2 linked regions of the Rhinolophus ferrumequinum genome follow. The protein of the gene in region 1 binds, or shares a complex with, the protein of each later gene. Links are inferred from orthologs where the notes say so. Each region holds a gene or a part of one and is shown on either strand. Other genes may lie near its edges.

Region 1 (7,861 bases):
TTAATGCAAGATACTTAGCACAATGTCTGACATATTTAGTGTTACATATTAGGTATTAAATCATAGCAATTACTTAAGCCAATATTTTCATTATGCTTGAGAAAACAGATCCAGAGGAGTCAAATGACCAGCTCAAGTAGAATAAAATTAGGGAGAGGGGAGATCTGATTTGCTTAAGGTTTACAAACCAAATTTCAAAGTGAGGAAATTGGGGGGAATTGACTTCAGATTTAATATTAAAATAAAATATTTATCGAGAAATAAACTTGAGGTTGAGAATAGTTTCTATACTACCAAGAAAAATGGCAAGTCAGGGCAACTTACAAGTCAATCCAGGATGTTTGATGCTTAGACTGAAATGTTTTCTTAGCTTTCTCAACTTGCTAATTTACTTTGTTTACTTCTATATTCAACAAAGTAGTGTCTGTGCATTCACTAAATAAAATGGTTTGTAACTCCTCAGCCTTTTTTATTTATTTTTTATTAAGTAGAACATCAAACCATTAACATGACCTTAAGAAAATCAATATTGTCCCCAGGCTCAAGACCCCTCACTCCACAGCTTAATTGGTCCTTAGCTTTCAGCTTTTGCCTCTAGACTTGTATTAGCCAATACAGTTGCCACTGGCCACATGTGGCTCGTGGTTACTTGAAATGTAGCTAGTCTGAACTGAAATGTTCTATAAGTGAAAATACACACAAATTTTAAAGGTTTGGTTAAAAAAAGAAAAGCAAACTGTCTGAATTTTTTATATTGACTACAGATGAGATGATAATGTTTCTGTTACATTGAGATAAATATATAGTTAAATTTAATTTTAGCCTATTTCTTTTTATGTTTTTAAAATGTAGCTACTGAAAAATCTTTACTTACTTGTTTTGCTCTCATTATATTTCTACTGGACTGTGCTACTCTAGACCCTGGGATTTTTCAGGATCAGGTGGGAAGCATTAGACCTAAGATCAGACATTGCCCGTTCCTGGACTTTCTCTGTCTCAGATGATGTAACTCTGCCACCCTTTTTGGAAGCTAGATGCCTCCACTATCCCATTCAGAATGGAGCCCTTAAAAGGCTGAAAGAGTTAAAGAACAATTTTAAATGTAGATCAGTGAACAAATCCATATTTCAAAGAATCGAAGACAATAGGTGATTATTGACCAGGCAACACCTAAGATTCACTTTAACATTCCCAATTGGCTCTTCTACTTTACTTGAATTATCTCTTTTAATTGTTACAGCTCTAACATTTAGGTGCTGTTACATACACATTTTACAAAGGAGTAAATGGAAGTTAGAGAGCTGGCAGGCGTGGCCTGGCGTTTTGATCCCAGTGCCATATCTAGCAAGATTATAAGCTCCTTGTATATCCTGTGCTTTGTCCATTCATGATCTGACACATACTAGATGGTCAGTAAGTGTATAGTAAAATGTATATGTAATACAACTTCAACCATGTAGAAAATACACACACACACACACACGCACACACACACAGGGCTGGCAGGAAATATATCAAAATGTTAAAAGATGTTTAATTATGAATGGTGATGTTATAGGCATTTTTAGAGGGTAATATGCATTTTTATTTTTTATCTTTACACTTTTCTGTATGTTCCGAATTTTTGACAATGTGCATATACTGTTTTTATTTCCATTACTCTTTAAATCACACAAAATATCATTTAAAGAGAATGTAGGTGGTTACTGACATAAGGTGGTTTTTCTATGTGCTGATACTGCTCTCTTCTCTTGTCCCCATGATGTTTCCATTCCCCTCACAGTTGGTCCCTCTCCTCCACTTTGCTTCTCCATTTTCTCTCTCAACCTCTCCTGCTTTTTCACCTCTCTCTCTCTTTCTCCCTCTCTCTCTATTCTGCTCCTTTCCATGACCCTCTCTCAGACTTATTCCTCTGGATCTTCCTCCCTTCTTGTCTCTTTTCTCCTGTCGCCCCGCTTTTTCTGAGAAGATTGACATTCACGTGAAAGGTCAGTCAAATGTTCCTGTGCACGTAGTAGGTTTCAGGCAGATTGTACCTGCCTCTGGAGTCCGGAGGGAGATGCTCAAATTGGGTGATGGGAGGGCAAGACTTCTAAAGAGGATGGCTATGTTTTGGATAAAATAAGAGGTGGGGTAGGACACTGAAGAGTGACTAAAGCAGTGGGAACAAAGGTCTGAGTATTCTCTCAGGAAAAGAGATGAGCAGAGGCTCTTACCTTATTGGGTCTGGGGATTGCTGCCTCCTGGTGCTGGCACTCAGTTAGAAAGGATGTGGACCTTAGTTGATTTGAGCTCCTGGATTGAATTAGTCCTGGTTGTATAATTGACTTTGATATGTGGCCTTTAGATCTGAAATGGGTTTAATAAGATTTAACTGCTTCAAAGGGCTTTATAAGAATTCATTTTATCCTTTAAATCTGATTTCAAATGCTGCCTACTTCAAGATGCCTTCTCTGACTTTGGTGCTCCTCCTCCAGCGCTCCTATTGTGCCATAGTTGATACATACCTTATTCAAGCAATTACCTCCATTGTATTTTATCTTTTTCTGTGGGAAATAGTTCCTTTATTGCCTCTCTTCAGGACTCTTGAGGGACAGGCAGTTATCTTATTCGTATTTGTATCCCAGGCCTAGCAACACACTCAGTTATGCACACAAGTGCTCAATAATGATTTTAAAAAGTATGTTAATGGCTAACATTTAGTAAGCACTGTGGCAAGCTATACCTACACTGTTTCTTTCATGAGACACTTTAGGAGAAAAGTATTTTTATTATGCCCATTTTACAATGAGAAAACTGAGAGAGTAATTAATTTGATCTAAAGTCAAATTTGATCCAAGATCAACTAGTAGTAAGTAGCACAACTTTTTCTACAGGCACTTGGCTTCAAGATCTGTGCTCTTAACCACCGTAGACAAATGAATGGATGGATGAGAAATGCGCTTCATTCTGTGGCTGAAGAAGTCACGTGGAAGAGTCCACCATTTATTTTATAGAGGCAGTTATGATTTAAAATTATGATAAGTCCTGAATCACTGATGTTTTTAACTTTTGAATCACCTTTACTTCTCCCTCCCTCCTTCCTCCCTTTCTCCCTCCCTCTCTCCTTTCCTCCCTCCCTTCCTTCCTTCCTTCCTCCCTCCTCCCCCTCACCCCCTCCCTTGCTTTTTCTTTCTTTCTTTCCTCCCTAAAACTCTCAGGAAAAAATGTTTGAACTCCTACATTGAAATGCAATTCAGGCAAGAACTGAGTGTTTTATGGGGACGGAAACTAACATCTTACTTGGTTCTACTTCTTGCCATTCATTCACTTGCAAATTTACGAATATAAGGCACCTACTGTGTGCTAGGAACCTTTTGTAGACACTAGAGATAGAGCGGTAAACAAAACAAAGTCCCAGTTCTCACGGAGATTACACTCTAGTGGGCACTTTAAATAACGCTGGTTCACTTAGTCCTCACAATAACCACATGAGGTAACGATGACAACAATAATAGATAACTCTTAACAATGCTTATCTGTGCCGGGTACTGGGCTACCATGCTGTATTTGTCTTAACTCAATTATCACAACAATCCTGTGAGGTAGGGGGTATGTATGCTTTCCTCATTTCACAGATGAGGAAAGTGAGACATAAATCGGTAAGTGACTCCTTGAAGGTTCGAACCCAAGCGGTGTGTCTCTAACACCAGGCTATATTGTTTCGTTTGTTTCTTTCTTAATATCACAACTTTCAAGTGGCTGAGTCTTATCTCAGATCGTCTGACTCCCATGCCCAGGAGTTTGCGCTGCACCCCCGCGGCCTCGTGAAATACATGAGAAAACCTTGGAATTTTTTCAACACTTTCTCTTCCAAAGAATTCAAACTGCTTTCCACGTAATTCTCCGAGTTGTGATGTAAAGCTCTTGCACTGTCAATTCCGAGCAAGTAGAAAGACAGGGCCAGGGCCCTGGGTCATCCTACACTGGCCGGGGTACCCAGCAGATGGCGCTATCTTAGTAGCCACCACCTGGCTGCCCAGTCCCCCGGGCTCACCGCCTTCGCCGAAAGCTTCCCGGCCCTCCCTCGCTCCCTTCTCTCTCCTCCTCCCCACGGAGCCCGGGCCCACGTGACCTCAAGGCGGCCAATGGGCGAGCAGAGAGGGCGAGCTGGTCCCTGTGGCCGCCATTAAAGCGAAGGGAAAACCCGTGAATTCGGATTAAAGGGGGAAAAACACAGCCCGCTGGGCCCACAAAATGGGGGAGACTACGGCGTCCGGGCTGTGAGGCCGTAGGAGAGGAGACGTTAGGCCGGCTTGGCCCAGGGACTACACGAAGACACAGCCAGAGAATGGTTTGAGCCCGCAGACACCACCACCACCTCCGCCACTGAGGAGACTCTGGGCTTAAGGACATCGCCGCTGCCGGGCCGGGGGCCTGGGCTTCTCTCCGGTTCTCGCCCTTCCCGCCCCTCTGCGGGCGCCTCCCCGCCCGGGAGAACCCTCCAGGGCTTGGGCTCTGCCCTCTCGGACTCGACTTTAATTATTTATTGTGTAATTTATTATTTTTCTTGTGGAAGGGGCACACATCCCCTCTGTCCCCCAGACAGGGACGAGCGTCCGCGGGCTCCGCGGCGGCCGCAGTCCGGCCAGCGGGGTGAGCGCGGCACGGACCGCCCGCCTCCGGCCCTCGGCTCCGGGCGGCTGGGTGCCGGCCGGGCGGCGGGGGCTGCTCGCGGCGGCGGGGGGGTGGGTGGGGAGGGCGGGCGGCCCGGCGGCCTCCTCTTCCACGGTCCCCCCAACCAGCACCCCCCCGCCCTCCCCGGTGTCTGTGTTTCTCTCTCTGGTCGGAGGCGGCGGTAATGGCGGATGGTGGGTTGTGGCGCCGGCGGCGGCTGCTGTGAGGGACGATGAGTTCCTCCTTCGTGCCGAACGGGGCCAGCCTGGAAGATTGTCACTGTAACCTCTTCTGCCTGGTGAGTGCCGGGGCCGCGGGCGGGGACCGCGGCGAGCAGGGCGGTGGGGGAGGGGGCCGCGAGGTGCGCCCTTGGGCCGTGGGGGAGGGGTCCAGGTCTGATCCAGATGCTGGAGTCCCCGGGCTAGGCCCAGCCGGAGCCGGCGCTGCGACTGAGCTCCGCACCCGCCTCGGGAGACGCGTTCGTTCACCCGCGGTCCTGGGCTCTGTTTTAGGAGAGTTGGCTTTTTTTCTTGTTTCTGACTTTTTCCCCCTCACCACCGTGGTCTTGTTTTCAGCTTGGGCTCCTTATCTGGCAGGACACTAACATTTCCCTCTGTTTAACTGTTGCTTTTCTCATTGACCATGTATCCCTTCACACTTTACATTATTGCCCATTCTCCCACTGTTTTTATGCCTCACTCTGGTGATTTGTTTCCCCCAATAAACAGGACCCCGGAACTTAGGTACTAAAAATCTCTTTTCGTTTTGCATTTTTTGTATGAGTCGAACTAACAGAATGTTAGTTTCTTCCTTGGGCGACTACAGACCTCTGTAAAAACCAGTAGATGCCATTTCATACGTTTTCTCTTTAAACTTTGAAAACAGTTTGCCATTTTGACAATTTCTAGCCATCTTGCTTTTATTAAAACATTATGTTTGTGTGAGAGTTGAACGTACTAAGAGAGAAGGTTCTATGGTTTTGCAGTAAATATTTTTGTCTTTTGCTTGCATGTTTAGAATGTTTTGGGCAGCCTGCTCCAGGTTTTATTGAAAAGTGTGGGGAAGGTGACAATTGTGTAGGTTGGCCCATGTCTGGGAGCGTCCAACCGTTTAAGACTTTAAAAACAGTATCAGTTGTTGCAAATACTTAGCCCTCAATTGGACGGTAGCTTAGCTTCAGCAATGATTTAAAGTTTCAGTGACTTCCTTTTTTCATCTTCCCTGCGCTTTGAGAAATATTAAGAGTATACGATAAGGGAATTGAGTGGGCGGAGCAGAACTAGTTGGCAAGTGTAAACTGCCAGTCATGTATCAGCAGTTTCATTTCTGGCACCTATACTTTGCACCTTTAAGTTAAAGAATTACTGAATTCCCTCTTGAATTTCTTTCAGGATGTTAAGTTAAGATCTTTAATGTCCTTTCCCCTATAAAATGTTTTCTTGTCCAGTGTCCATTAATCAGCATCTCTTCAGATGTAATAAGACAGCAGGTTTTACATTTCTATCTTCTCCAACTCAGTCTATTTTTGGTGCTTTTAGGATCAGGTTCTTTGAAGATAGACTAGCACATATCTGACAGTTCTTTGTGAGCAGCTATTTGACTTTTCCTAAAAGGGATATGTGAAGAAGTAACAAGAATTTTTTGTTATAGTTCAGACTTCTATAAACATGGAATGATGATGAGTCTTTAAAAATTAATTTTCTGTTACAAGTTTGACATTAAGGACAAATGTGACCAGTTAGAACAGAACTTAGGATAGATAGGAAATGTTTACTCAGTGTGCAGTATTAAAGTACATATTTATATTTAACTTTATTACGTTTCTTTTATTTCTCCTTGGAACACCCATTAATTGACTTGCTATTCAGTGATCTGTCATTGTTAATTTTTTCACTGTTTTTGTTCAGAATTATTAAGCATTTTTTTGATCAACCTGCTTTCAATATTTTAAGTATATCTTGAAAAATTTTAATCCTTGTGAAATAAGGGACTTTTAATAGTGAGTACTTTTGACTTTGCAGTAATAAAAAAAAAAATCATGCTTTCTTTTCTTCAGGCTGACTTGACGGGAATTAAATGGAAAAGATATGTATGGCAAGGCCCAACTTCTGCCCCTATTCTGTTTCCGGTGACAGAGGAAGACCCCATTTTGAGCAGTTTTAGTCGCTGCCTTAAGGCAGATGTACTTGGTGTTTGGCGGAGAGATCAAAGACCTGGAAGAAGAGAATTATGGATATTTTGGTGGGGTGAAGACCCTAATTTTGCTGACCTTATTCACCATGACTTATCAGGTGAAAGCAACTTAACCATTTCTAGCTAATGAATAGCAATGTATCCTTTACTCCAAAATTGTCTTTATTAAGATTTTTTGGTGGAACACTTAGGTATGAAGCCAGATACAAATTCAGCTTCATAGTCTATTTCATTGTGGTTATTTTATTTTACTTAAATTATCCATATTATGGCAGGCTTTTTCAATCTTCAGTAACTTGATTCTTTCATCACCTAGCTTCCTCATGAATTTGTCATAGACAGGCCTAAGGAAGACATTATATTAACCTAAGAAAAATGGAATCAGGGAGCATAAAGTTCCTAACAAAGTTGTAATACTTTTGAAGCCAGTTTAACTAAACTTGGAGTCAGTTTTGCCACTGCTCTCCTGTATATACGAATATGAATATGCTGGCAGTTGTAGCAGTATCTAGAAATGTGTTGTAACTTTCCCACGTTTTTTCAAAGCATATGGTTATTTTGTTATTGTTATTTGTGGTTATTTTATTATCATGTGAAGACATGTTAATTTTGTTATTCTTGGGAAGTGATTCTTTTATTTTAGATACCTTCCAACGAAGACTATCATTAATATGAGAAGAGCGCCAACTTATTTAGCTTTTGTAGGACATTAGGGGGCATACTCGAAAAAGTTATACAGAAATAATTTTATTATGAGCAAATCAATAAGATTTCTTCCATCTTATTTTTTTGATTTAGGACCAAATGTTATTTTAGTATATGTGCTGCCGAAGTGAGCACCCAAATGTTATTTTAGAAAGAGAAACTGTAGCTCTTCATGAAATTACTGAAGCTTGTGTTTATTTTGGTGTAAGAGTCAGTGAGTCTTTGAGGATAAGAATATAAGTGATAAGTTGTTTCCTGCAAGATACCAAAGACTTCAGCAAGATGTTTGATAATTATTCATAACAGG
Region 2 (7,115 bases), on another chromosome or scaffold:
GCCCGAACTTGCGTGAATCAGTGAGTGTCCCATAGAAACAGGAAGCTAATCACCTGCTGAGAAGACTGTGCTGAAGTGGTGTGACTGATTTCTGGGCAGGAGAAGACACTGCCCTCAACTTTATCCACAACCAAGCAAGATCAAGCTGGAACAAATGCGCACACTGCACTTCAGATTTTCAACACTCTGGGCTGACATACCATGAAAGAGTAAGATTTCAATTATTCTGAAAAACTGTTAGTTGCTTTCTGAAAAGGAGTGTAAAGGATTTACTTCAGTACTGAGTTGGCAGAAATTAACTCAGAACCTGCTGCTACAGAAATTCAAATACTCCAGAGGCTAGAATTTAGAGCAAAAAAACAACTTTCCTCTTAAGAACTCTTTTGTCAAGGAGATGCTCAGTAAATGTTACTTTGTTACTTCCCTAACTTTTCAGATACTTGTGGATATTAGGTCAGCGGCTTGACATTAATTTTTCAAGCAAAAGCTGTTTGTTAACCATAATTGCATGTCCATAAAGGTAAGCATTACATGACACAATTCTCTGTATTTTCTCTCAGAAGAGGTTTAATTTTAGTGTTGGCTCTTCAACTCTGTCCCCATTTTTTTCATGAGCATCTTAAATATGTGTCAACCAACTATCCAGAAGTGTTCATAATTGGGCAAAGCAGAGAAGAGCGCCCGTGCGGCAGCAATGCCCTGTTGGAGCGCCCTCACTCTCACCTGGGCCCAGGTCAATCGTAAGAAACTGCAGCCCTGTGGTTGCACCTTCTCCATCAGCAAACTATTCTGCCACATCTCTAAGTTTCTATACACGGTTTGAACCAAGCCGCACTCCTGTCAAATGACTAGTAACAATGCTCACAGACACTAACAATGGCAGCATTTAAAGGAGGCACTTTCTTCATCGCTCATATTCAAAGAGACAATTTCCCAATTCTATCAACTTATTTTAGTAGGGCTCTAGCACACCTATCGCTAGAGTTGCCCAAAGTAAGCCACATGAAACATGAATTCCATGCTACGTAATACAGCCATGGGCTCAGATGAGAGTAATGTTTCTGCACACACCAGGATACACGAAGCTGAGATTTGTTCCCTCCTCCTACTTCTAGGAACCCTCTAGATTAGAGCCTTGCACAACACTAGAATCCCTGAGGTCACTGCCCACCTAATCTGTAACATCGTGACCACCTGTCAAAGCACCTTCTGATGTCAAAGCGCCTTCTGATCCCAAAGCTCTCCTAGGTGGCATTAAGAATCAGTGCTAATAGGTCAGCCACTCTCAGATACTCCAGAAGGCAAGCAAGCACATGGAATTCAAGAATTGCACTCTGACTCGACAAAAGATGCAAAAGTTACCAAAGCTGTATTTTTCATGTCACTTGCTTTATCCTCTAATATTTCAGTGTTGGGAATTGCAGCGGCACCAGTTACTGCAAAAATTCTGGGAGGTTTTATATAGCTTGTGCCTACTCCACCCCCAAAGTCCTAACAAAAATGTATACACTTGTTAAAGGCAATTTCCACCAAGCCAATCTTAATGGGGCCCGAAGACCAGGAATAAGAGAATTACTTATGATAGAGAAATCAGAGCCTTACAATTATCATAACCCCTCCAAAATTACCCAAGACAATTTTTTCTTCCATCTGCAGTATGTTAAAGTGATTTCAGTGGCCACTTCCTGGTCTCCCAGCAAATGCAGGGCTCACTTCATACCTGGATGTCATCCTCCTCCTGCTTAACCTGCTCCTGCCACAGGGGAAAATGACCCCTATCATCAACAACCCCTTGGAGAATATATGAGAACACAATGAGGCTTCCCCTACACACACGGAGGGGGGACAGGGGAGATCCCTCTGCAAACATGGAGGGTCATCTGACAAAGCGACACCCTGGGGTTAACCCTGTCATCTAGGTCAAAAACCACCTGGCTAGAACCTCCAGATAGGGGGAAGGGACAGCCGAAATAGGGTTCTTGGGTGAACCGGAGAGAAAACAATCACCTTTAATTCCCTACCCAAAAGTGGGGCTCTGGCTTGGTCAGAGACGCAATGGGCAGTTAGGCCCAGAAAAGCAGCATGAAGGATCCCACCCTCCTCCCCAAGATCATCTTCCGTTGGCAGCGACTCGAAGAGGGATCCAGCAAAGACATGTCCATTCGCAGAACCGAAGAGACCTCTCCACGCGCCCTGGGCACCCGGCTAGGGGCAAAGCAGGCCGGGGGTTTCCCTCCGAAGCCAAGGTGCTTCCAGCAGGGAGAAGAAGGAAGGAGGACTTCCCTGATCACCCAGAAGGCCGAGATACTGGAGGCACGGGCTCCCGGAGTCATACTCCAGCCACCAGTTGCTCCACAGTCTTTCTCCCTCCCCTCCCCCAAGTCGAGAGGGCTTCCCGGGGGGTCTCTGGTCTCCGGAGAAGGGGAGGCAGGTAAGCTCCGACAGGAGCAACAAGGGTCGTAGAACTCAAGCAGGAGGGAAGGAACAGCTCTGGCCTCAGCTCCCGTCTGTATCCTCCACCCAGGCCGCACGTAAGCCTCGGCCTCACGTACCGAGCGCCGCCGGGCTGCCCGACCTGCCCCGGGCCCAGGCCCGGGGGACGAGAGGCCGGGATGGCAGCGGCCCTCGGGGGAAGGTGGGCCTCGGGCGGGTACCCGGGAACCCCGAGGGTGAGGGGCACTGGGGAGGAGGAGGGTCCCGGGCCCACGAGGCCTCGGTCCTGGCCCGCGCGGCGGGTACTTACGTTGCTCTGGGGGTCGATGGCCTGCAGCAGCCGGTCCCTGATCTGCTGCGGAGACGCCGGAGCCGCTGTCATTGCCTGGGCGAGGCGGGGGGGAGCGGCCGGGCCAGCGGGCGGGCGGGCTGAGGCGGGGGACGGGGGTCACTCACTCGCCGGCCTCCGGGAACGGAGCTTCATGTTCCCCGCGGCGCCGGGGGAGGAGGGGGCGCGCGGGGTGGCGGAGAGGGGAGCCGGAGCCGGGGCTCGGGCCCGGGGCGCCGCCGCCACCGCAGGAGGAGGAGCCGCCGGAGCCGCCGCCGCTGCTGCCGCCGCCTCGAGAACCAAACTCCAGTGAGCTGCTCCTGCGCGGAGCACTCTGGGTAACCCGCGCCGCACGCAGCGTCGGCGCCACGCTGAGGAGGTTGGGAGATGGGGCGGGCGGAGACGCCGGGCTTGGGCGGGGCCACGCCTGGGTCACACCCCTCGCCTTTTACGCATGCGCGCACAGGCGCACTCGCCCACCGCGCAGTCCCAGTCCCCTGCTCGGCCCGGGGAGCCGTTGGGAAACGGTTGGGCGGGGCAACGGTCGCCGCCTGGAGCCCCGCCCCCACCCGGGCTGGGGATGCTGAGGTTCCCGACCCAAACGCGAGATGCGCGCGGAGTCCTTGAACTCGGCGCTGCGGGTGCCGCCTCAGCTGTGCAGGGCGGGGAGGGCGGCGGCAGCACCCCTCTTCGGGAAGAAAAGCCTTCCTTGCACTGACAGAGGTGATAGGGGTCGCGGGCGGGAGAAGCTGCCAAGTTTTCCAAGCCTGGGGGGGATCCTTCCCACCCCCTCGATCTGCGTTCCTGGGGGCGAGGGAGATGGATGTCCACGTTGTGATGCTGCGCGCGTCTGGGTCTGACCGAGGGATGTCAAGGGACGTTCCAGCTCTGGTTCACTCCAGAGGGCGGGGGTCTGCAGCGCCTCGCTGGCCCGGGTCCCGAAAACATGAGACGGAGAAGCACCTCTCCGAAGAGCCGCCATCCCAGCTGGGAATGCCCCCAAACCAGCCCCGTGAGCCGACCCCATGGTTGCAGACCTGTGCCCCGGTGACATTTGGGGCCGGATCACTGTTGTAGGGCCGTCCTGGTAGGATGTTGAGTAGCATCCCTGGCGTCTACCCACTAAATGCCAGTAGCACCTTCTCCTCCAGTGGCGACAACCAAAAATGTCTCCAGTCATTGTCTGATGTCCCCTGGCAGGCAGAATCGCCCCCTATTGACATCCACTGGTTTAAAAGACCCTTCTACCTTGCTTGGCGTGGAGAGGCTGGAAAATTGAAACCCTCATTCTCTGAACCAAACATTTCTCAAAGGAGAAAACTGCAGCCCAAAGTCACCCAGAGTTACAGGTTAAACCCAGAACTTCTAATGTCAATTCTAAGGGTACCCCCCACCCTCTGCCCCACCCCCTTACTGCCTTCTTTCATTGCTGTCTTCTCTCTCTGGAAGCTCTATTAGAAATACTGTTATGAGACAAGGGGTGGAAAGGCAGGCTGAGTGGATTATTAGTGGCAGCCTCAGGAGAAATAACTTTTCCTTGTTACAGGAAGACCTAGATTTAAAACAGAAGAGAGGCAGCTGATGAGAACCGCATGTGCGCCTTGGATCTGTCCTACACCTGTTAGTCTTGCATTTGTCATGCTTCTGCGAAGCATTTTTATTTGCAAAAACGGCTGTTTCCGTGGTTGTGGCTGCTTGCTTCTGCACATGTGAAAAGTTTCACATCACACTTGTAGAAGAAAATAAACACAGGCAAAATACTCCGTTCAGTTACTCTCTTTAGCATGAGGTGCTTTGTGTACATGCTCCAAGTTGGAAATCTGCCCACTTAGAGATATTCTTTCTCACTTCAGATAAGCAAAATAAACAAGCTTCTCCCCCAAGTATAATCCGGTCCTGCCTCTCTCTTAAATTTCTAACTAGATGTACAATGTCTTATTTTTTTAAATCAGGGAATAAGCCATTTGTTTTGCATGGGTCAGGTTACTTAAGAAAACTCTGGAAAGCACTCAACTTACCTGCTTTTTTTAAACTAAGAAGAAACATTAAGATGACTATGAGCTCCACAGGGGCACCGACTCAACTCCGTGTCCCCAGTAGATAGAAAAGTGCTTATTAAATATTTGTGAAGTAAGTGAATGTCTCATCAGATACACAGCAGTTGAATACACATACCCAAACATACTTATGCGGTTCAGTTCCACAGACCTGGCACACAGTGGGGGCTCAATAAATAATGGAAAAAGTATTTTATTAAATACTTTCTACAACATGAGGATGCACATGGACACAGAGTTTCATTCCATATTTAGCATACAGCATGTCCTCGAATAATGTAACAAAACGACGTTTTCGTTATAATGGTGAGATGCCATAGGAACTTAACTCGTTTTTTATCAATTAGCCTATGTTAAAACTGGTCTCATATGTCATTTTACTTAAAGTACAGAACTTATTGACAGTATTGAGGACTTACTGTATATACAAAGTATGCTTGTCATGGTAAAGAAAGATCGCCACGGAACAGTTTTGAAAGTTAGCAGCTTCTCTTACGTCCATGGTAGATACTGAATTTCACTAGCTGACTTTCTGCTTTCAAGATACTTGAAATGTTATGCAAAGATGGGGCTCAAGGTAAATCCTCGTGCTGTAATCGTTCTTCCCCATGATATGTCCCTTAACTTAGATACAGAGACCATTGGTTCCACCAATCTGAGAGGACAAGATCTTTTGTGCTTGAAATGTCCTTGGGAAAGCGGCCTCATCTCTTAGTGAGGCAGCCCCCAAAGGTTAGGGCGAGGAAGTGGCTCTGAGTCCATGGCTTGCTCTTGCCATGGAAGTGGGAGGGAATGTAGTTTCAGGACCTGAGTGCACAGCATGCCCAGGCAGTCTTGGCAGTGAGAGAGTGGAGTCCTCCTCCGTTGGCAGACTAGTAAGGGCATCCCAGAAGGAAGTCAAGAGCTGGAGGGCTCCCACGACTGCACAAGACAAGTGTTCAACAGCGACACCATGTGACAGCAAGGAGCAACAGCAGCAACGCCCTAGGCAGACTCACTGCTAAAGGGAAAAGCCGCTGTACCCTTGCGTCACAAACCCCTGGGAGGTGGGCAATTTAAAGGAGAGGAAATTACTGGACTTATCCCAATGATGTATGTAAGCGTTCCAGTGATTGATAAGAAAAACAAACATGAGCAAATCCACCACCTCACTTTGACCCATATGTTTGCTCTGAGTTTAACAGTCTGGTGGAAATTTTTAAAAACCACTTTCTCCTATTAACTCATTCAGCCATATCACTGATCTCAGAAGTACCTAGAGAGAGGTCTCAGGGTTCTGCTTGGCTTTGCAGCAAGTCCTGTTTACTTTAGAAGTGAAACCAATTTCAACAGTTTTGAAAAGCCCCTGAAATGTCACTGCTTTTAGGAAGACTTTCAAAGATAGACGGGACAATTTTTATCGTGCTTTCAAGTGGGATATAAACATGAATAAAGCCTGCTCCTGAGGATCTAGTTTTGAAGCCAAGCACTGGAATCAAGTCGGGGTCCCATTAATCCAATATTTTAATTGTACTGTCCGAGCGAAGTGCAGCAGGAGCCCTAAGGTGGGGAAAGCCCTTCTGGATAGGTGGACCAGGAAAAATGTTTGACAAGAAGGCAGCACTTCAACTGAGAGTGTTCCAATACACTCATACCCTCTGACCCGATCGATGTCTCACAACTTCTAGAAATTTTTCCAAAGGAACCACCAATCAGATGCAGATAAATGTGTACGTATGTACAAGGGAGGTCACAGCATCATTTATAAGAGCAAAAGAGTGGAAGCAACTGAAGTATCCAGTAATAGGGGAGTACATGAATAAACGGGGGGGTCAATTCATGAAAATGGGAAGGTTATGGACTGGGAGAGACCAAAGGAATCGATAACTCCGATGGGGGTAGCGGTCTTATGGGTGGATGCACATGAAGAAATTTACCAAGCTGTATATTACTGTACATTACACTTTGAAAATAAAGATATATAGCTAGATAACAGATAGCTAGATAGATAATAAAGCCGTTAAAAACCAGTACTGAAAAGATGGAAAAATGCTCTCAACTTAATACTAAGTGATAAAATGCAACATATATATACATTATGATCTTACTTTTATTAATATATGTATACGTATGTACATGATGCATAGAAAAACTACTGGAAGGAAAGAAACCAAAATATCTACAGTAGTTGTCTCTGACAGGTAGAACAGGTGATGATTCTTCTGATACTTTTGCCTGCAGTTCCACACTGTTTAGAATGAACATGTGGTGCCTTCTGGTCATCTCATCCAGTGCCGGGTTCTCCTGACCTCTAGTAA

What was found. Proteins that work in one complex are often made in the same cells at the same time.
Region 2: MED13 (region 1) and MED26 share a complex: the UniProt entries of both Homo sapiens proteins name them as parts of the mediator complex. The link is inferred for Rhinolophus ferrumequinum from reciprocal best matches to the Homo sapiens genes MED13 and MED26.

Annotation. Positions count from the first base shown.
Region 1 is NC_046304.1:26,085,369-26,093,229, reverse strand, and holds the start of MED13 (mediator of RNA polymerase II transcription subunit 13), read left to right. Parts: upstream 1-4,763; 5' UTR 4,764-4,888; coding exon 4,889-4,954; intron 4,955-6,712; coding exon 6,713-6,947; intron 6,948-7,861. UniProt on the Homo sapiens protein: Component of the Mediator complex, a coactivator involved in the regulated transcription of nearly all RNA polymerase II-dependent genes.
Region 2 is NC_046301.1:50,104,567-50,111,681, forward strand, and holds the start of MED26 (mediator of RNA polymerase II transcription subunit 26), read right to left. Parts: upstream 3,073-7,115; 5' UTR 2,816-3,072; coding exon 2,744-2,815; intron 1-2,743. UniProt on the Homo sapiens protein: Component of the Mediator complex, a coactivator involved in the regulated transcription of nearly all RNA polymerase II-dependent genes.